2 linked regions of the Diceros bicornis minor genome follow. The protein of the gene in region 1 interacts with the protein of each later gene in a pairwise test. Links are inferred from orthologs where the notes say so. Each region holds a gene or a part of one and is shown on either strand. Other genes may lie near its edges.

What was found.
Region 2: the proteins of MAGED1 (region 1) and RBFOX1 interact in a two-hybrid assay, tested with the Homo sapiens proteins (2 studies listed by BioGRID and IntAct). The link is inferred for Diceros bicornis minor from reciprocal best matches to the Homo sapiens genes MAGED1 and RBFOX1.

The regions. Positions count from the first base shown.
Region 1 is NC_080781.1:44,339,970-44,349,900, forward strand, and holds the start of MAGED1 (melanoma-associated antigen D1), read left to right. Parts: upstream 1-4,863; 5' UTR 4,864-4,943; intron 4,944-9,931. UniProt on the Homo sapiens protein: Involved in the apoptotic response after nerve growth factor (NGF) binding in neuronal cells. Inhibits cell cycle progression, and facilitates NGFR-mediated apoptosis. May act as a regulator of the function of DLX family members.
Region 2 is NC_080765.1:41,858,221-41,868,151, forward strand, and holds the start of RBFOX1 (RNA binding protein fox-1 homolog 1), read right to left. Parts: upstream 4,871-9,931; coding exon 4,772-4,870; intron 1-4,771. UniProt on the Homo sapiens protein: RNA-binding protein that regulates alternative splicing events by binding to 5'-UGCAUGU-3' elements. Regulates alternative splicing of tissue-specific exons and of differentially spliced exons during erythropoiesis.

The DNA.
Region 1 (9,931 bases):
AACAGGATCTGCATATTGAAAACTATAAAACACTAATTAAAGAAATCTAAGATCTAAAGAAATGGAAAGACATCTAGTGCTCATGGATTTGTAGAGTCTACATAGTAAGATGACAATTATCATCAAATTAATCTATAGATTTAACACAATTTCAATCAAAGTCACAAAAGAATTTTTTTGTAGTTATAGAAAATCTAATTCCATAATTTATAGGGAAAATGAAAGGAATCAGAATAGCCAAGCCAATTTTGAAAAAGAAGAATAAATTTGAAGGAATCACACCACTTGAGATTAAGATTTAGTTTAAAACTACAGTTATCAAGACAGTGTGGTATTGGTGAAGGGATGACACATAGATCAGTGCAAAAGAACAGAGGGTTCAGAAATAGACCAATACAAATATGGTGAATTTATTTTTTACAAAGGTGCATATTCAATGGAGAAACAAAAGTCCTTTTAACAAATGGTGTGCATACTAAAACCATAAAGAGATTCTATTACCTACCTGTTAGAATGGCTAACATGAAAAAAAGTATGAAGAATACAAAGTGTTGGCAAGGATGTGGAGCAATTAGTACTTTCACATATTGCTGGTGGGAATGCAAAATGATACAGCCACTTTAGAAAACATTTTGGCAGTTTTTATTTAAATTAAACATCCACATACCATGACCATTTATGAGCAATCCTACTCCAAGGCACTTCTTTTGAGAAATTAAAACTTATGTTCACACAAAAATCTGCATATGAATGTTATAGCTGCTTAATTGATCATCTCCAAAAGTGGAAACCACCCAAATATCTTTCAATTGGTGAATGGATAAACAATTTGTGATACATCCATACAATGAAATACCATTCAGAAATAAAAACTGATGAATGATTGATACATGCAACGACTTAAATGAATTTCAAAAGTGTTATCCAAAGTAAAAGAAGCCTGTTTCAAAAGGTTACATATTCTACGTTTCCATTTATATGACATTTTAGAAAAGAAGAAACTAGACTGAAAGAGAACAGGTGAGTCGGCCAGGGTTTAGGGGTAGGGAGGACTGTGTGACTAATACAGGATATCATAGGGACTTTGAGGGATTTAGGGATTGTCTTGTATTCTGACTGTAGTGTGGTTACATGAATCAATGCATGTGCTAATATTCGTAGTACTGTACATGCCAAAAAAGTAGTTTACTGCATGTAATTTAAAAAAATGACAAATGTCTTTATGCACCATGGAGAAATGAATGCCTACATATATAGTTAAGTGAAAAAAATCGTGGTGCGAAATAGTTTGTATCATATGCTATTGTTTGGTAAAAATGTAAAAAAATATATACAATTGTTTGCTTGCATATGTATAAAATGTCTTTGAAAGAATAAGAACCTCACTAGGTCGCTAGGGGCCAGGTATAAGATGGAAAGTTTTTATTGCATATAATTTTATCTCATTTTTTGGTAATTACTTTTTTAAATTATTCTTTGTAACTTTATTATAATAGATGATATATACAAAATAATATGTGTAATATATTTGTAAATTATAAACAGCAGTGGTATAATGAACACTTCTGAACCATCTATCAACTCAAGAGCAAGATAATTATTAATAAATTTTCTCTGGCTATGAGATCCTCCTCTGCCTCTCTTCACCTATCCCAGAGGTAAACACTATCCATCAAACCACATGTCTTTCTGTTTATATAGGTATGTGCTTCTTGTTTTTAATGATTGAAATTTTTTATCCTATTTCATTTTATCTCTCTATGGATTTAAATTTATGCATTTTGCTTATTCTATTTTTTACTCTCACTGTGCTTCTGCTATTTTAGTAGTAACTTCTGAATATTTATTACAATTATTTAACTTAATGTCTGAACTTTAAAAATATATTAACTTCTCTCTCAATTTAATTCTTATCTCCATCTTTTCTTGTTATATAATATTTTTGTTCATAATCTTTGAATCACCATTTTCTTCAACCCCACAACTCAGTCCTAATTATTATGTTTTTATACATACCATATTTGTTTTTTAGATTGACATACATGTTTATCATTTTAACTTGCTCTCCATTCCTTCTAGCTTTTCAGACTGTCCTTCTGGGATCATTTCCTTTTTCCTGAGGTGTAGCCTGTAGGGCAGTAATTTTCAATCTCCTCCGTGCATCAGAAACACCCTAAAGAGCTTTAAATTCACATATAAATGCCAGACCTCACCCCTAGAGCTTTAGGTTAATTTTGGCTGGGACGGGAACTAGGCATTGGTATTAAAAAAAGAAGAAAGACAAAAGGTCTCCTACTGATTCTAATGGGCATCCAGAGTTGATAACTACTGCTTTGTAAGTTCCATATTTATTACGTTGTTTTGTTTATTGCTTGTCTTCCTCACTAAAATGTAAGTTCCAAAGTGCAAGGATTTTTTTCATTCCTTTACTTATGCATGTCTCTCTACTGCCTTGAGCAGTGACAACCACACAGTAGTTGACCAACAAATGTTTGTTGAGTGAATGAAAGAAAGTGATAAGAATAGGATACATGGCAGAAGCAGAGAAGAGGAGCTGTTGTCTAGTTTTGGTTAAGGAGTGAAAGAAAGAGTCAGCATGGTTTCGTGAAAGAGATAAAATGTGAGCTGACCTTTGAAGGGTGAATATGAGTTAACAGAGTGTGAAAGCACAGAGATTTGAGATCCTGGCGCACTTTCCAAATTATAAGCAGTTGTGTGAGACTTGGACTTAGGGTAGAAGAGGCTGAGTGGTGAGAGATGAGGCGAGAGAGAGAGAGAGAGAGAGACAGAGAGAGAGACAGAGAGAGAGAGAGAGAGACAGAGTTAGACTACCAAGGCATTTGTATACCATGGTAAGGAGTTGGGATTTGGGGAGAAATATGGAGAGTCTGAACTAAGATAGTTATCTTGGTGACTGAGAGAAATGGATGAAATCTATCAATGTTGTTCATATATCACCCTTTTAGTGAGCCCTTCTGTAATGGCAGCCCCCTACCTCTCTCCCACACACATTGCTATCCTACTTACCTGCTTTATTTCTTCATAGCACTTGTCACTTTTTAGCATGTATTTTCCCAAAAATTTTGTTATCTGACACAAGAATGTAACTCCTGTGAGGGCAGAAATTTTTGTCCGTTTTCGTCACAGTTCTATCCTGAGAGCCCAGTGCATATTAACTGCTCAGTAAATATTTGTTGCATGAACTAACAAAAAATTTGAATGTAGAGAGAGTCAAGGAAAATACTCAAGTTTCAATGCCTCTGGATTTCTGATAATCCACTGGCTATTTTTTTTTCAGCTCAATTCCCAAATATAATTAATTCTTAATAGCACAAGCCCCTAACTTTCTGTATTTATTCATTGATTACCACAATATCCTCTAAACCAACGTCTCTGCCTCAGATTGCACCAGTACAACCCATTTTCTATATTTTGGTTTGAAATGTTACTGTATACTTTCTTCCTTAAAATTCTTCTTTGACTTTCTGTTTTCCTCATAATTAAGCTCAGACACTACAACATGGCATGCAAGATCCTTCTTTCTCTGGCTTCTTACATCCAGCTTCATCTCTCATCACTGCTCCTTTCACATGATACTTCAACTCCACTGCCATTATTTCCTTTCATTCATCCGTTCAACCATTTATTCAACATTGAACAAGTCTTTATTGAGCATCCTGTAGGACGTGAGGTCTATTTTAGGTTTTTAGTATTGACCAGTCAATGGGATAGTCATAGTTCCTACACTATCTCCTCTTTACTGATTATTATTGTCACATTATAGTGCTGCTAATTGTTTATGTGTTCATTTCCCTCACTGGTTGGAGGGTCTTGAAATCAGAAGTATGTTTTGTTCTTCTTTATATGGGAAGTATCAGGAACCGAACCTTATATTGAGTGGTTGTTCAAAATATGTTGGTTGAATGACAAAATATGAGTCAAAATGTTGAAATGAAGTATAAAAATACTAGCAAAAGTGAGGACCTTGTGCTGGCTCCCATCATTGCCCTGACCACATTTTGGTCATTTATTCATTGAACAAACATTGATAATCACCTGTTTTATGCTAGACTTTCATATGTTTAAATGTCACCTTTAGCCCCTAGTCTGTAGGCTCCTGGTGCAATGCTTCTCTATGTAGCATAGTGTTTGGGACACGGTAAGCACTCAGTACATACTTGTGGATTGAATGAAAATAATCACAAAAGAGGAGAACTGGGGTACAGATTTTGGACTCAAAAGAGCTTTCTGGAGTTAGTGGCAATGAGTAATTCAATATTGAACTTTTAACGAGAGTAAAGATTATTCTTATTATTGAAACTTTTTGTCAGTTGTCATTTTCTTCATTTTTGGGGGGAGTATATAAGTATACAAGAATGCTTTCTAAATGAATTCACCTTTATTTATTTGGAAATTTGAGTATGGCATGAAACTCTTTGGATATCATCCCAATACAAACATGATTCAGATTTAAGATTTTTTAAAAATCTTGAAATTGAAATATGCCACTAATAAAAATGAACTTTTTTTCAAAACTGTGTGTCAGAAAACAGTAAACCAGTATGGTAAATACGTAACTATAGACATCCAAAAGTTAAGGGACTAAGGGTAAAGGAGGTATTCCAAAGGCTGAATCAACAAGGTGAGGTGACAAATTGAATACGTGGAGTTTGGCAGAGATACTGCAGTTCCTGGGATGACTACAGCCGGGATTTGTAAACAGTTACTGATTCCCCCTCCCAGTCGTTTTACATCACTACCCAGGTTCTCATCCGCTGAGAGAGCCAATAAGTTCAAGTATTGCAAGAGCTTGCTAGAGAGGCACAGGAAGTTGCCTGGAGTGAAGTGTGGGCGGGTGGCGGCAGAAGCTTAAGCTTCTGCCAAACAAAAGAAAATAGCACTTCCGGTCCCGCCAACGTCGCGTTGCGGCTTTCTTCGTCAAGGTGAGTGTAAAGAAAGGGTCTGGTAATTCTTACAAGTGAATCCCCAAACGCTGTAGGGAAGCTTTCCTCTTTGCTTCAACACGGGATGGAAAGAAGAATTCATCTCCAGAGTCCATTGTATGAAGGGTGTTTCTGATCCTTGTGGTTCCGGTCGCCTCCCTATCTCCTCTCTCCTACTCCAGAGATGGCAGGCGGTCGTCCCCTCCCCCTTCTGACTCTTGTGGTCCTTTTTGTCAGTGGTCATTCTTCACCTCTCCTCATTATCCCCGATCCTCTTCACGATCTTTCTGAGCCTGGATCATTCCCTCTACCACAGATTTCTTTCTTACCTCTTACTCCTACCTTCCACTCCACCCCATTTTAGCCTCAGAACTTTTGCAAACCCCTTCCCCCACTCTGAGCCCACATTCTTCCTTCTGACCCCAGTATCTTACTCCTCCGAAGGCTTCGGATCTCTCCTGTCCCCCTCCTGCAGAGGCCAGTGAATTATATACTTTCCAAAATCGGGTATGACTTCAGTTTCAAGGCCAGGGCTGTTTTTGTTCTTTTTAGAAATAAGCAAAGAAGCAGAAATTTTAGAGCCCTAAGAGACATAGGGACTCGTTCAAATTATTATGTTCATTTACTTTATTTTTTTACTGTAAACAAAATTACACAGAAGATATTGCACTGGTTTCAGTCCTCTACTCATGACATTAAAAAAAAATTACTTAGAATTGAATCCTCACAGTTTTAGAGGGGCAAACATAGTGGGTTTTGCTTATAACCTGGTGTCAGCTTTAGAGGGTGGAAGCTTTGCCATTCCCTTTAGAACTTCTCATAGGGCAGAAATGGTTGACAGATATGACATCCAATCACAAATTTATTATTTCACTTGAGTTGGGTTTATTATGCAGATCCTTTTCTTGTCTCTGGCAGCGACATGGAATAGCAAGCTGGCAGATTTTTCAAACAGATTTTTCCTAGGAGCTTTGCAAGTATTACCTATTTGGTGCAATGTAAACTTTTGTCTTTTTTTTTTTCGTTTTTTGCAACGTAAAATGTATTTTTCTGTTCCATTTGTCATGTGTAATTTGTCTTATGAGAACATTAGTTTATAATCACAATTTATTATTTCAGTTCTTTACCCAAGTGAGGGGAGATGATCGTTAAATTTATAATGAAAGTCAGGATTTTTCAGGCTCTAAAGAGGAATTTAACAAAGGCTCTCCTTGAACAAGCAATTTATTCCCTCTTTCTCCTGTAACTAGTGTATTATGCTTGCCAAAATAAGAGGTGATTCTTTTTTCTAGGCCGAGTATAATTTTCAGTTCTTTTAGAATAAACAATGAGGCAGAGATATCATAACACCAAAACACTTAGGAACTTTTTCAAAGGGTATTGCTGATGTCTCTATTCTCTATTCAAACCGTAATTACACAGCGTTTAAACATCATCACACTGGCTTCAACCCACTGTACATCCATCCATCCATTTATTAAAGAATTTTTTATTGAATAACTTTTATGTGCCAGACAGTGTTCTAAGCACTGAGGATACAACAGTGGAAGATAAAAACACAGTCTTTTATAGTTGAGAGATAGACAATAAATGAATATATAATAAATATATAATAGGTGGTGATGGGGAGGGGCTGTACTATTTTAGAAAAGATGATCAAGAAGGCCTCCCTAGTAAGGTGACATTTGAGCAGAAACCTAAAGGAAGTGAGGGTACAAACTATACAGATATTAGTGGGAAAACAGGATATAATCTACGTCAGTGTCTCTGCATTTTTTGTTCACTCTGCTTTCTACACTTCCCCTCACCCCACCCTGCCCATGGTCACTTTTCTGCATAACATAAATGCAGCACTCTACATACTCAAATAATCTAATCTGTCCATATAAATTCCCCATATTCTCTTCCTGCCTAGCTTCTTGCTACCATTTAGGTGAATCGTCAGTTACCAGCCCCTATGGGAAGACATCTCTATCTCCATCCTCACCTCTTCCTCAGTCTGTTTATTTGTGGTGCATTGTGTGTTATTGGACACCATATTTCCTTACCTCTCTCACTGCTCTTATCACTGCGTGTTCATATGTTGCCCATAAATATTTGGTATGGTAAATTGAAATTAATTCAGTGCTTATCTGTAACAGACAAGCTTTTAAATATAGTTGTCCCCCTAATGTTAAAAACCACCCTCTAAGGTCAGTATTACCGTTGTCATTTTACTGATGATAAAACCAAGGCTCAGAAGTGGATAGTAACTTGCTAGATGGTGGTGGAGTTCATGGAGTTAAGGTCTGTCAGACACTCAGTCCTGGCCTGGTTCTCTCTTTCTCTCCATCTGCCTGTCTGTTTGTCTCTGTTTATTAATGAGAAATAGAAAATATACAGAATATTTTATTTTATTATTTTATAAGACATAATCTGGGTGTAGAAATTTCATTTTGTAAAGTTTCCTTTCACAAATCGGATTATATCAGGTGCTTGAATTAGTTCCTAGTTATAAATATTAAGAGCTGAGGGGCATGATGAGTCTTTTTATTTGAACGTTTTTTAATAAAAAGTTTAAACAAGTATAAATTTAAAGAAGAGTTACAATGAATACTTTTATACTCCGAACCTAGATTCAACAGTTGTTAACTTTTGCCGTATTAGCTCACTTGTTCACTCACTTGCTTGCTCTATCTATCCATCCATCCATCCATTTTTTTATTGAGATATAATTTTTTGTATATTTTTTTAATCTATATTTTGGCTGAACCATTTGAGATTGGCAGGCATTGTTTTTAAGTAAACTTAAAAACATGCAGAAAGATGCACATATCGTAAATGTACAGCTCAAAGCATTTTCACAGTGTAAACACACCTGTGTAAACCAGCATTGAGATTAAGAAATAGAACATGATCAACATCTGAAAGCCCTTGAATGTATTCCCTGCCAGTCACAACTAAACTCCAAATTAATCACAGTCCTGCTTCTATGACTGCTATCATTTTGCCTGTTTTTGGACTTTATAAAAATACAATAGTATAGTATGCATTTTTTGGGGTCTGACTTCTTTGGCTTAAGATTCTGTTTTGGAGATTCATCCATGTTATTAGGTGTTATAGTAAGTCCTTCATTCTCATTGCTATGTATTGCATTATGTGAATATATTATGATAGATGAGCATTTTGGTTGTTACCATTTTTGGCCTGTAAATAGTACTGTGAACATTCTAATACATGTCTTTTGGTGATATATGCACACATTTCTGTTGGGCATATACCTTAGAATTGCTGAATCATAGGTTATGTATATGACTAGCTTTAGTAGATACTGCCAACCAGTTTCCTAAAGTGGTTGTACTAAAAAACTCCCAACAGAAATTTTTAAGAGTTCCAGTTGCTCTAGAGTATTGCCAACACTTGTCATTGTCTTTTCTTTTTAAGAAAAAAAAGTAGCCATTCTAGTGGTTATGAATGGTATCTCATTGTGGTTTTAATTTGCATATCTCTGGTGATAAATGTGTATCTTTCCATATGTTTGTTGGCCTGGATATCTTTTTATGAGGTGCCTATTCAAGTCTTTTGACCACTTTTTCTTTTGAACTGTCTTTTTCTTATTGATTTGTAGGAGATCTTTCTATATTAAGAATGTGAATACTTTGTTAGATATATTTATTGCAAATCTCAGTTACTTGCATTTTTGATCTCTTAATAGTGTCTTTTGATGAACTGAAGATCTCAATTTTAATATTGTTCAATTCATAATTTTTCCCTTTCGTGGCTACTCCTCGTTTGTCCTGGTTAAGAAATATTTGCCTTTCTCAAGGTCATGAAGATATTTTTTATGTTGTGTCTTTGTTTAATCCCTCACTTATATTTACGGTTCCTTTGTAATTGATTTTTGTGTATGTTGCCAGTATGAGTTATGGGTATGGGTAAAGGGCCTTTTTTTTTTTTGGTCAAAATGGACATCTAGTCAACCTAATACAACTTAATTGTAAAGATCATTCTTTCTCTTCTATAGTGTCATCTTTTTCATAAATCAAATGATTAGGTTATATATGTGGTTTGTTTCTGGATGCTATTCAGTTTGGTTTATTTCTCTCTCCTTGTCTGAGCGCCACTGTCCTAATTAATGTAACTTTATAATATACCTTATATATGGTCATTAAGTCCTACAGTTTTGTTCTTTTTCTTCAATAATGCCTTGGTTATTCTTGGTCTTTTGATTTTCCGTATACATTTTAGAGTCACCTTGGAAATTACCATAAAAATTCTCCTTGGCGTTTTGATTGAGATACCACCTAATAGATCAATTTGAGGAGCACATATCATGGCACTTCACCCCTAAATATCTCAGCATTCATCTCCTAATATTAGGAACATTTTCTTAATAATTTAATTACCATTATCTTATGAATAAAAATTAACAGTAATTCCCTAATATCATCTAATACCTAATACATTTTCAAATTTCTTTTTTTCCCCAACAAGCCTTTTACAGCTGGTATTTAAAACCATCTTTCAACCTAGATTAAAGTATTTTTATATTTCTTGAGGATTTATTGTTGTCACTTTCTCTATTTTGTTAAACTTACAGATGTTTATATATTAAGTACTTTTCAATCCATTGTGGTCATTATTTCTTCTGTTGCTCAAACTGTTCAGTTTGGAAGGGGCCAGTTGGAGCCCCTTCACATTGGCTTCTGTCTTTTTTCTTTTATTACTGAAATTTTCAAATATATTTAAAGTAGAAAATAGTAAAATAAACATGCATGTATCCATTCCCTACCTTCCACAATTAATACCATTTTGCCAATTTTGTTTGATCTTTTCTCCTTACCCACTTTTTTCACTGGGGTATTTTAAAGCAATCCCAGACATCGTCATTACACAGGTAGATAACTCATTATGCATCCCTAACTCATAAGTGCATTATATGAAGTAACCACTAGGCCATTATACTTAGTAAGATTAACAATAATTCCTTATATCATCTAATACTCAGT
Region 2 (9,931 bases), on another chromosome or scaffold:
AAATGGCAGGCAGCCCTGCCGAATGGCGCAGAACTGGGTCTAAGGACTAACAGATGCTTACAATTTTCACAAATGAATGTCGGATTAAATAATCTTAAAGCAGAGGCAACCCAAGTAACCCCGCAGTCAATAAATCCCCAAAGATTCCTGAAATGGGAGAAACACAGAGTGAACCCCAGCCCACCTGAGATATGGGCCTTATCTGGCTAATAAGAGCCCCACAATTCATGTCTTCTCACCTTAATTGGAAAAAGCAGAGAAACTAGGAAGATTGGTTAATAAACCAATTTATGACATAGGATCTCTGTAGAAAGAAACAGAGGGACCTATGTTTTATCAGACAGTCACCCGGGCCTGGAAATGTGCTCATTCCAGCCACTTAAATTCCTTAAACAATTCAGACATGAAGATAATCTATCCTAATTCTTTTCTGCGTTATTGACACAATTGACTACCCCAATCCACAGCACGATCTAATAAATCAACATGGGATTAAGCCAAGAAGAAAAAAGGTGATAAAATGCCATTGGGCCCCTATAAATCATCGGGCTGAGCAGCACAAGGAAAGTAACTGGAATGAGAATTGAACTTTTCTACGCAGCCATAATTGCTATGGCCTACCTCACGTTTCCCAAATTTATAATCGCAGCCGGTGCATGGGGACGCTGCCCCCTCCTACAGTCTTCATGTGAGATCCCATCTTCCGGGTCACCCTACACAAGAACCACTTTCTAATTAAAGACAGAAAGGGTTGCTATGCAGGTTTCAGTTCAATTGCTTTCGATCTGAAGATGTCCACGGTGAGCAATGGCTTCATTTACCAGGAATTACCCTTTGTACAAACCACTTCACTATTTAAAACAAACCACATGGATCATCATTAAGTGGGAAAAATTACCAATCTTCGGATATTGACAGTGGCATGGCCTATTTTAGAGCCCCTTTTTTCTCCCCTCTTTTAATGTGGATTTTAAGCATTTGACTTGTTTTTAAATTTAGCTTGATAAAAAGGTTCTGAGGGAATACAATTTGACAGATGAGAAGCTTTCTTAGAACGGGACTGGGAGACACTGATGGTGGTTTAGGAACAGGGAAAACTAAGTTAATATGGTACTTCTCCTCTTTCAGGAAGGTGGAACTCAGCGTGAAACAGCTCTGGGGGAACCTGACATGCAGCGTGCTTCAGAAAACAAGTCTTGTCTGCTCTAGCCGAAGCCTTGCCATCCTTTACCATGCAATGAATGTTCTCTGGTGGGCTTCCTGTGACTTAGGATGGGAATAAAGCATCTACATTTTTGTGTTATGAATGTGAGTGTGGTTTTCTATTTCTCTCTCTGTGGAAAACAAAACACATTCTCTTTCGAACTAGCCCACAGCAAACCCCCAAATTTGGAATTTGGATTCAGAATTTTCTCTCAAAGCCAGAATGTTTAAATGGGTACCCACTTTGGAACTCTGGACAGATTCTGTATTGGGGAGATGTGAGTTGAAGTTCATCTGGGAGAAGAAGATTCACCATCGAAGAAGACACTGGATAAAGCCACTGCATTGTGTCAAGAACAGAGGCTGAAGCAGGGGCTTTCCGTGGACAGCAAAATTGAAGCCAGTTGTTCCAGGGCTTGCCTGTCCCTTCCATCTGAGAATGGTCTACAACCACAAGATAGTAGTAACATCTCCAACTTTAAAAGAGAGGACAGAGAGAAAGAAAAAGAAATTAACTGTACCAAAATACCTATCCAAAGCAGAGTTACTGGAAGATATAAATAAATGAAATGGAATAAGTCTAATAATTTAAACACCGACGTCGCCTCTTCTTTGGCCTGATTAAGTAAGTTCTTTGTGGCAAAAGGGTTACATAGTTTTCACTTGGTCATTCAGAGAAGACTCAGACGCTGAGGTATCCCAATTGATTTTTATTTTCATGAGTTGTCTTAGGAACAAATCTGGGAAGGTTTAGGAAGAAAGATCGGATGTCAGGGATGAGGCAAAGAAAGCAAACGATGAAGTAATTTTCCTTAGATACTAGATGAGAAATAAGTGCCATATGAAAATTCGTTCCAGGAAAATATCTTTCACTGAAGACTTGCTGGCCCCTAAACAGAGTTTGCGCATTTATAAAACAGAATGATAAAAGCTCCAAAATAAGAGAGTTGTGTTTTAATTATTTTCTTATATAATTGGTGATCTGAATGACAAAGACTCCTGAACTATGTTTATTTCTAAATAATAATAAAACGTTTCCAACGAAGGTGTCATTTATCACAGATGTTGCCTAATTCATCATTTGATCAACTAACTCTGAGAGTACATATTAGCCCTCTGATCATCAAAATTAAATAGAGATACAATAATAGCTATAGATTAATAGCAGATAGAAAATATAGTGGCAATATATGTATAGACGATGTATAGATCGTATCGGTAAGTGGTTTGTGGATATTGAAGTGAACTATTTCACACCATTAATCAGCCAATTATCTGGACTGCTAAATAAAAGCAGTGACATGAGACTTCTACACAAACTATCATGACAGCAATGGCTGGGAGAGACCTGAAGGTATGGCTCTCCCACCCTGAGAGTGAGCCTTTAGGAAGGATGGGAGGTGTGGCTAGAAAACCTGATTCTGAATAAGACAGACAAAAATAAATGTCTGCCTGTACTATGCTTCAGGCATTTAGTGAAACTCAGAAAAATACACACATGCACGTACGCACACGCACACACACCGCATTCTGACACTATCACAGCATCACCTTACAAATACTTCCACTGAGAGCATGACAAGCCCTTTCAAGAGCGGGGTGCATTCCAAAGCACATTTCAAAAACCCACCTCCATCTATCTTCATATAGAACCATGACTCTGATTTAGTCATTTCTAAATATTTGTCATGGCTGCTAACATTCCCATTGAGCCTCCCCTTTCCATGGCAGGAGTATTTTCCCTCCTGGAAAAGATTGCCTGGGAGATGCTGAGAACTCCTGCATGGATCCTATAAACTTGTCCTTTTCATGGCAAGAATAACCTCTCACTCAGAGTCCCTGTCTTCTTTCCTGAGTTGTGTCTAAATGAGCAAACCAATTTAACAATCTAGAAGGAGGAAACATCGATCTATTAAAAAAAGAATATTGCACAGAGAAAGTGTGAGAACACTGACTACCTATAGCATTCTATTTATTAGGTACTGCTGTTCAAACTGATTCATAAATAACATGAAAGAAGTGAATACAGGGAGCAAATGATCAACTAATATTAATAATTTGATTAAATCCAACTGAGGCTTATCATCTGTAGAAATGCTCATTAGGACACTCTTCTGGTGGGTAACTGGTGTAAAACACACTCACACACACACACACACACACACACACGGGAACTCACAGAAAAGGCATAGAAATGTTAGAAGCAGATGCATCATATAATATGTTACCAGTAGGCTCTTGGGAAGTGTTTCCTGGCACAATTTACTTAATGAGAAATGGAATAAAACAATATTTAAAAAGATAAACCAATTTGTTTCCAAGATATTAAAACAACAAAAAAGGCTGTTGGCAAAAAGACTTGCAACAGAAAATACACCTAAGAGCGATTTTCTGGAGGCAACCAACTTGATAACAAATTACCCAAATGTTGGAAACAGAATATTGACGTTTTATGAACACATATATTCCTGTAACACAGATTGAAACTGAGGGTCTTCGGAGAAGGAGGCCCCTCTGAACACTCGTAGAGGAAGTTTAGTCAACCCCAACCACACACAGTTAACAAATGGTGCTCTGGAAGGGAGTCCATCGAAAAACAAATAAAATGTCTACAATCACTGTTAACTCTTCATGCAGCAGGGTGGTTGATCCTAGGAAGGGAGAAGGATTCCCATCGGCATGAGAAAACCCTCCTATCCCTGCCGGTCACATCCGCAGCCCCTGCCCAGTGAGGCAGAGCTGGGCTTGTCACTCCACAAGGTTCCCAAGCCCAGGAACCAACTCAGCCTGCAGCCCTACTAGTAAAGAAGGAAAGAGAGACAGAGAGGGTCCAAGGGAAATACCCAGAGAAAGACAGAGAGAAACATAATGAATGATTCTGAAATGTACACAGAAGGGAATATAAACACAGAATCCCTGGCAAGACCATTAAAAGGGAATAGAGGAGAAAAAAAAAGCCTTTACACATGCCAACAAAGACAGCATCCCAAACTGCTCGCCTTCATCACAGCACACCAGTGAGTTTGGAGGCAGATTCTGGGGCTGAGACACTCCAGAAACCCAAAGGCTCCCATCCCAAGCGGACTGAATATAGCACAACCCAGACAAACTTAAGAAAACAAAAATACGGAGCACACGTACACACACACATATGTTTTTCCACTCCCTATTAAAACAGCTGAATTAAAACTCCAGGCACCCAAGTGCCTCCACAAAGATCCAAACTCTTAGCATAACTCTTAGCATCAAAAGGGTCTTAGACTCAGATCGCCACCGGACGCACTGTCACGAGAAAAATGCGAGGTAGGAAGATGCAGTTTGCAATTTTAAACTCCCTGTACCCAAGCTCAGAATCAGGCGTTCAAAGTATTCATTGAGGTGTAAAAACAGCTCAGCGCGGGGTGTCTGGGCTCCACAGAGAACGAGGGGCTCGGTCCCACCCCTCCCGTCCAAAAGCATGAGCCCCTTCCCCAAACCCCTCCAAGGTACCAAAGCGCAACCCAGCGACGCGGGTACCGAGTTCGCCGAGCCCCGGAAAGCAGCCACCGAGGGAAGACGCGCGCCTTACCTGCTGTAAGTACATAAAAGTCAAGGCACACGAGAGCTGGGGACACATGCCCACGTTGGGGAGCGCCACGCAGGTGGCCCCCGTCAGAGGATGCTGCATCGTGTCTCTCTGGCGCCCGCCAAGCACGACTGGGGACGCTCGCATGCAATCACGCCGCTCTTTGCCTGGTCGCTACAATTTTTTTTTTCTTTTTAATTTTGCTGATTATCTAAGTCAAAACCCGGTGGCTGTCTTTCTCCTCTCTCTCTCTTTCTCTCTCTCCCTCCCCGCTGCCGCACCCCGCGCGTCCCTCCTCCCTCGCTTTCCTTCCCTCAGGGTTTGCTAGATCCAGGCGTTCATCTGCCTCCAACTAAGACACTTGAGAGGGCCAGGAAACTATTTTGTTTCCTTTGTGGCGCTATCGTTTCTCTGGTTTATTGGGCCTACTTTCTGATGCCCCTCAAAGTGGAAGGTGCCCCCCACTCCACGCCCCCGGGAAGATGACAAGAACCGGCAAAGGCAACTTCTGTGAAAGGTAGAGGGGGTGGATGCCCTCCTGTAGATGCTGAGTAGAGGGGGGGGATAAAGCTAAGGGCGAGAGAGAGAAGGAGGGGGAGAAAGGAGGAGAGAGAGAGAGAGAGAGAGAGAGAGTGAGAGAGAGAGAGAGGGATTTTGACTCACACTGAGGCTCACTCGGCTGGTGCTGATGCTGCGTGCCTTCTCATTTGTCAAATGGGTCCAGGGGCAGGGTTGTTTTTTTTTTTTTTTCCCTCCCCTTTGCCTTTTTTATTTTTTTTTTAAACGACTCACCAAAATTCAAATTGTGTCTGCTAAAAATCTCCGCGGGGCGGGTGAGGAAGCAAGCGAGCGCCCCACATCGCCAGCATCCAGGCGAGCTGGACAATTACTGCGATTGCCCAGCTGGGACCCGGAGTCTTAGATTTTGGTGGCGGTTTGTTTGCCTGACTCGTTGGAAAATAAACACAGAAATGGGATTCCCCCTCGTGAGAGTGCTGAGACGATGCTAGGGGCTGGGGGCAGGGGGGGCTGGGGCTGCAGGCGCCTGAGGCAGGGCGGTTTCTGGGGGTCCCCCCACCCCCAGCAGGGCGGCCCGGCCGGCGATGCACCCCCAGGCGTGTGGGGCGCAGCTTTCGCTCTGCGCCTCGTCTTGGCTGGGCAGGCAGCCGCGAGCACACCTTCCAGCCCCTGAGCCGCTGAATGGGAGAAACCGCCCTGGCTGGCGTGCAAATCAAGCTTGTTGGACTAACTAACACGCCAGTCCCCCGTGAATGCAAGGGGGGCTTCTCTCAGCCTAGAATCCCAGCTCTTCTCAAATTATAAATGCGCAGGATGGGGAAGTCCTTGTCTGATAACAGATTACTCTGTGGGCTGCAGCGGGCAAATTACAATAGTTTGTTTATTTTATTTTTCTCCTTCCTGGCCAGCCCTCCTTGGCCAAATTAGCATTCTGTTCTTGCAGAGGGGTCTCCCCGCTCCCCTTTATTTTATGAAGTAATAATTATTCATTAGTAGATTTCGTTAGTCTTTATGCAATAAAATGGGATGTGATCTGCAAATCAAAAGAAAATATTAAGACTCTAACATGTCCTTGGTCCCCACAGAAAATAAAAGTACATTCTTGGCAGCAGTAAAATGATGATCAGGAATAGTAGCCATATTTTATAACATAGATTTTGACCCAGTGATTGGATTTTCTTTTTATTTTCAGAGCAAGAGGCTGTCTGAACAGCATCTTTTTTGATTGCTGGGTTCCCTGCAAGGAACCTAGCTGGGAGCCTGCCACTGCCCTGCAGATGGAGCACACCCTGAGAGCGATGGGGGCACCCTCAGGAAGGGGAAGTTAAGGCAGGGTTCTCGGGGACTGGCCACCAGGGGCATCCCCACTGACCCCTCAGTGAGGCTCACGAGGACCCTCTCAGCCAAATGACAGCTTCTGAACTGAGCCATGAGCTCGCAAGGCACAACTCACTTTGCAGGCTAATCAAAATGCTTTCTGAAGAAAAGGAAATTAATTACTCCACGGCTTCATTTTTTCTGTTGTTCTGTTTTGAAATGCCATCGATAACTATAAAGTCTATGCCAAACACCAGGCCCTGACCAGGCTGTTTCTTTCTCCTCATCTGACAAATCCAGCCCCTCCAACGCCCTGGGACTTACACATCTGATCAATTTAGAGGGGACACGGTAGCATGCTTAGCCCTAAGTAGAAGTTGATATGGGAGATGAGTGGAGCATGGGCTGGTATCTGATGCTGCCTTTTTGGTGAGGGGGTGGCAGTGGTTAGTCTGAAAAATCCTTGCTCTATGTTGTTTCAGAAATCACATTAAATCAGACAAGGTCTGATTTCCAATAAACTGTTTCTCTGTTTTCTTTGTTTTCTTACTTTCTGCCTGTCTTTTATTTATTTATTTTTTTAATTTTGCAATTGCCAAAATACATGAGAAAGCCACTCCACAAAACATATGTGGAATAAAAGGTCAACCATTCTGCCTTTTCCATCCTTTCTCTCTTCCCATCCTTTCCTTTTGCCTCAAGCAACTTGCTGTACTGACAGGGGTTCATCCTGCTTTCCTTCATTTTTCTCTTGCTGGAATTGGAAAAGCCTGCAAATGCCCCAAGAAGAGGACAGAATTTTCCCTTCAGCTCATTTTCATAAAACACGATAAATAATACATGGCACTTCTTTAATAAGACCTTATCTGAATGGTTTAATGAAAAACAAATACATTATGTAAGGAGCCAATAACTGCTCTCTGCTGCACTCAGCCAACACTGGTTTTCCGATCCGTTTTCTCCCCAAAGTTGAAAACCCTCAGTGGTGATTGGAGTCCTATAGACCCATTTGACAATAATGGCTCAGACTTCCCGTTAAACTTAGGTCTTCATGGTGGGGTGCATTGGAAGTCTGCAAAGCGAAACAATGGAATCCAATCCTTCTAAATGCATCTCAAAATTGCTCGGAACCAGGCTGCATTCTCTGGACAACGAAGTTGTCCAGAGACAACTTCCTTTAGTTGTTTAGGGGTGTCCAAACACCCCTGCACAAGTGCATACAAACACGATTATGCACAGAGACAAACACACGCCCCATCATGCGGCACCCGCATGAACGATGGGGTAGGACAGATTTTACAGGGGCTAGTAAACTCAGTTCACGTTAACCAGGAATAGAGCATCGGATGACCCCAAATCAAATGGTAATGCCATATCTACAATCATTGCTCACTCCATGTCAAACCTCTGCCAGCCTTTTAAGAAGCATCTGGGGATGCTGAATTTGAATTCTGTCTCAACAGAGACTGAGCAAAAGCCACATCGATGCTGCTAGCTCCCAAAGGATTCTTCTACATCAATAAATGAGAGAAGTGGGGAAAGAAAACACTCTTCTCTTTCTCTACACACAATCCTTGGGCACTCAGTATCATTTGGGTGTATATATTGCACCACATTCAAGGGTCACCCCCTGCCTTTCAGCTGCAAGGACCCTTCCCTGAATGGTTGTACATAGCCTGTAGGAAGCAGAGAGGGTCAGAAAACCAGCAGTGAGCAACGCCATCTTCAAATGATACTTCCTTAGGCAGAAGGCGACTGCTCCTTTTAATTTGACTCATACAACAGTATTTGTAACTTTTTCCTTCCCTCAAATTTGCCAGCTATTTAAAAGAATAAAGGCAATTTTTTTTTTCCTTTTCTCTCCTTGGTAATTCCTTATTAAAATGTCCTAAGGCTGTCAAAAGGGCAGACATTTCACTAAAGGAGATCTTCTATGGGAGCTGCCATGCCTCACAGTAAGAAAAACTCCAGTTAGATAGAAGGAAGGACTTCTTGATCTTAAATGTAATTATCCATACCGGGGTTAGCTCTGTAACAATGTCAAGGAGTGGCTCAGAAGTATGTTACTCTCACTTCCAAAATTTGATACGGACAACTACAGTCTCAGTCTTCAGCAAGGTGAGAATGAAAGTATTCGGAGAAAACCTAATGATTTATGATCTCTATCACAAGCACTTTGAATCACCTACTTGTTCAAACACTTGAAGGAGAGCTAGTTCATGTTGATTACATTCCAGGCGCTGCTTGAGTCCCTAAGGCTGTATCAGTGGGGGAAGGCAAAGATCCCTGATGTCATAGAACTTATATTCTGCGGGGTAGCGGGGAGCAGAAAATAAACAAAAAAGATAAGAAATAAGTAAATTGTACAGAACATAGAAGGTGATGAGTGGTGCGGAAAAATGAAAGAACAGGATTGGGGATTGAGGACAGCAGGGATAAGGAGGGTAGGGCAGGTCGCAGTAAATGCTGGATAAAAACTTTGCTTTCTCTGCAAATGCAGCTTTAGCTTCAAGGAAAGCCTCCTTGCACCCTCACGCCTTCCGATCCCATGACCAAGTTCCAGATTTGTCTAATATATTAATTCTGGAGCTCCCTTGGGTCACCCGCTGAGAGTGGTAGTGGGAAGTTAGGCATTTCTAATGACTAAAAACTGGAAAGATTCTCACCTGCAGCTTTGCCTACTTGACATGCAAGGTTTTTAATACAGTGTCTGAGATACAGTAGGCACTCAGAAAATGCTGAGTTGGTGAGTGAATGGATGGATGGATGGATGAACACAACAGGAATTTGGACCAAATGACCTCTTGCTGTCTCTTTCTGCTCAGGGAATCCAAGGATTCTGAGGTTTTTATGATCCATTTATTTTTAGCTCTCTGTGTGTTAAGCTGGTCCCTTGGCCTCTAGAATGAGGTCTCAGCCCCTGCTGGTCCCTCCAAGTCACCCAGCAGAGGCTCCATTTCTCAGATGCACTTCTCCCGGCAAACGCGTGCTTAGTGCAGGGCGCGGAGTTTGAGGGCCGAGGAATCGGCAGCACTCAGATGAGCACAGAGAGAGCTGCATCTCAGGCAGAGCCAGTTCCAACCATTCGGAGACAACTGCTTTGCATGTAACGACAGGATTGAGGCTGGAGATTGGAATCCGCTTCTGGGTCCAGGACCCTCAAACTCTGCTAGCCTTCTAGCCTGGGTGTGGGTTGTCGGTGAGCCCAAGAATAAAAGAACAGAAACACAAGTACAAGGGATACCCAGTTGGCAACTAGCTCCCACGACAAACACGCTTCTCAAAATTATATTGGTTGTGTAGAATGGTTTACTACCATCTTCTGTC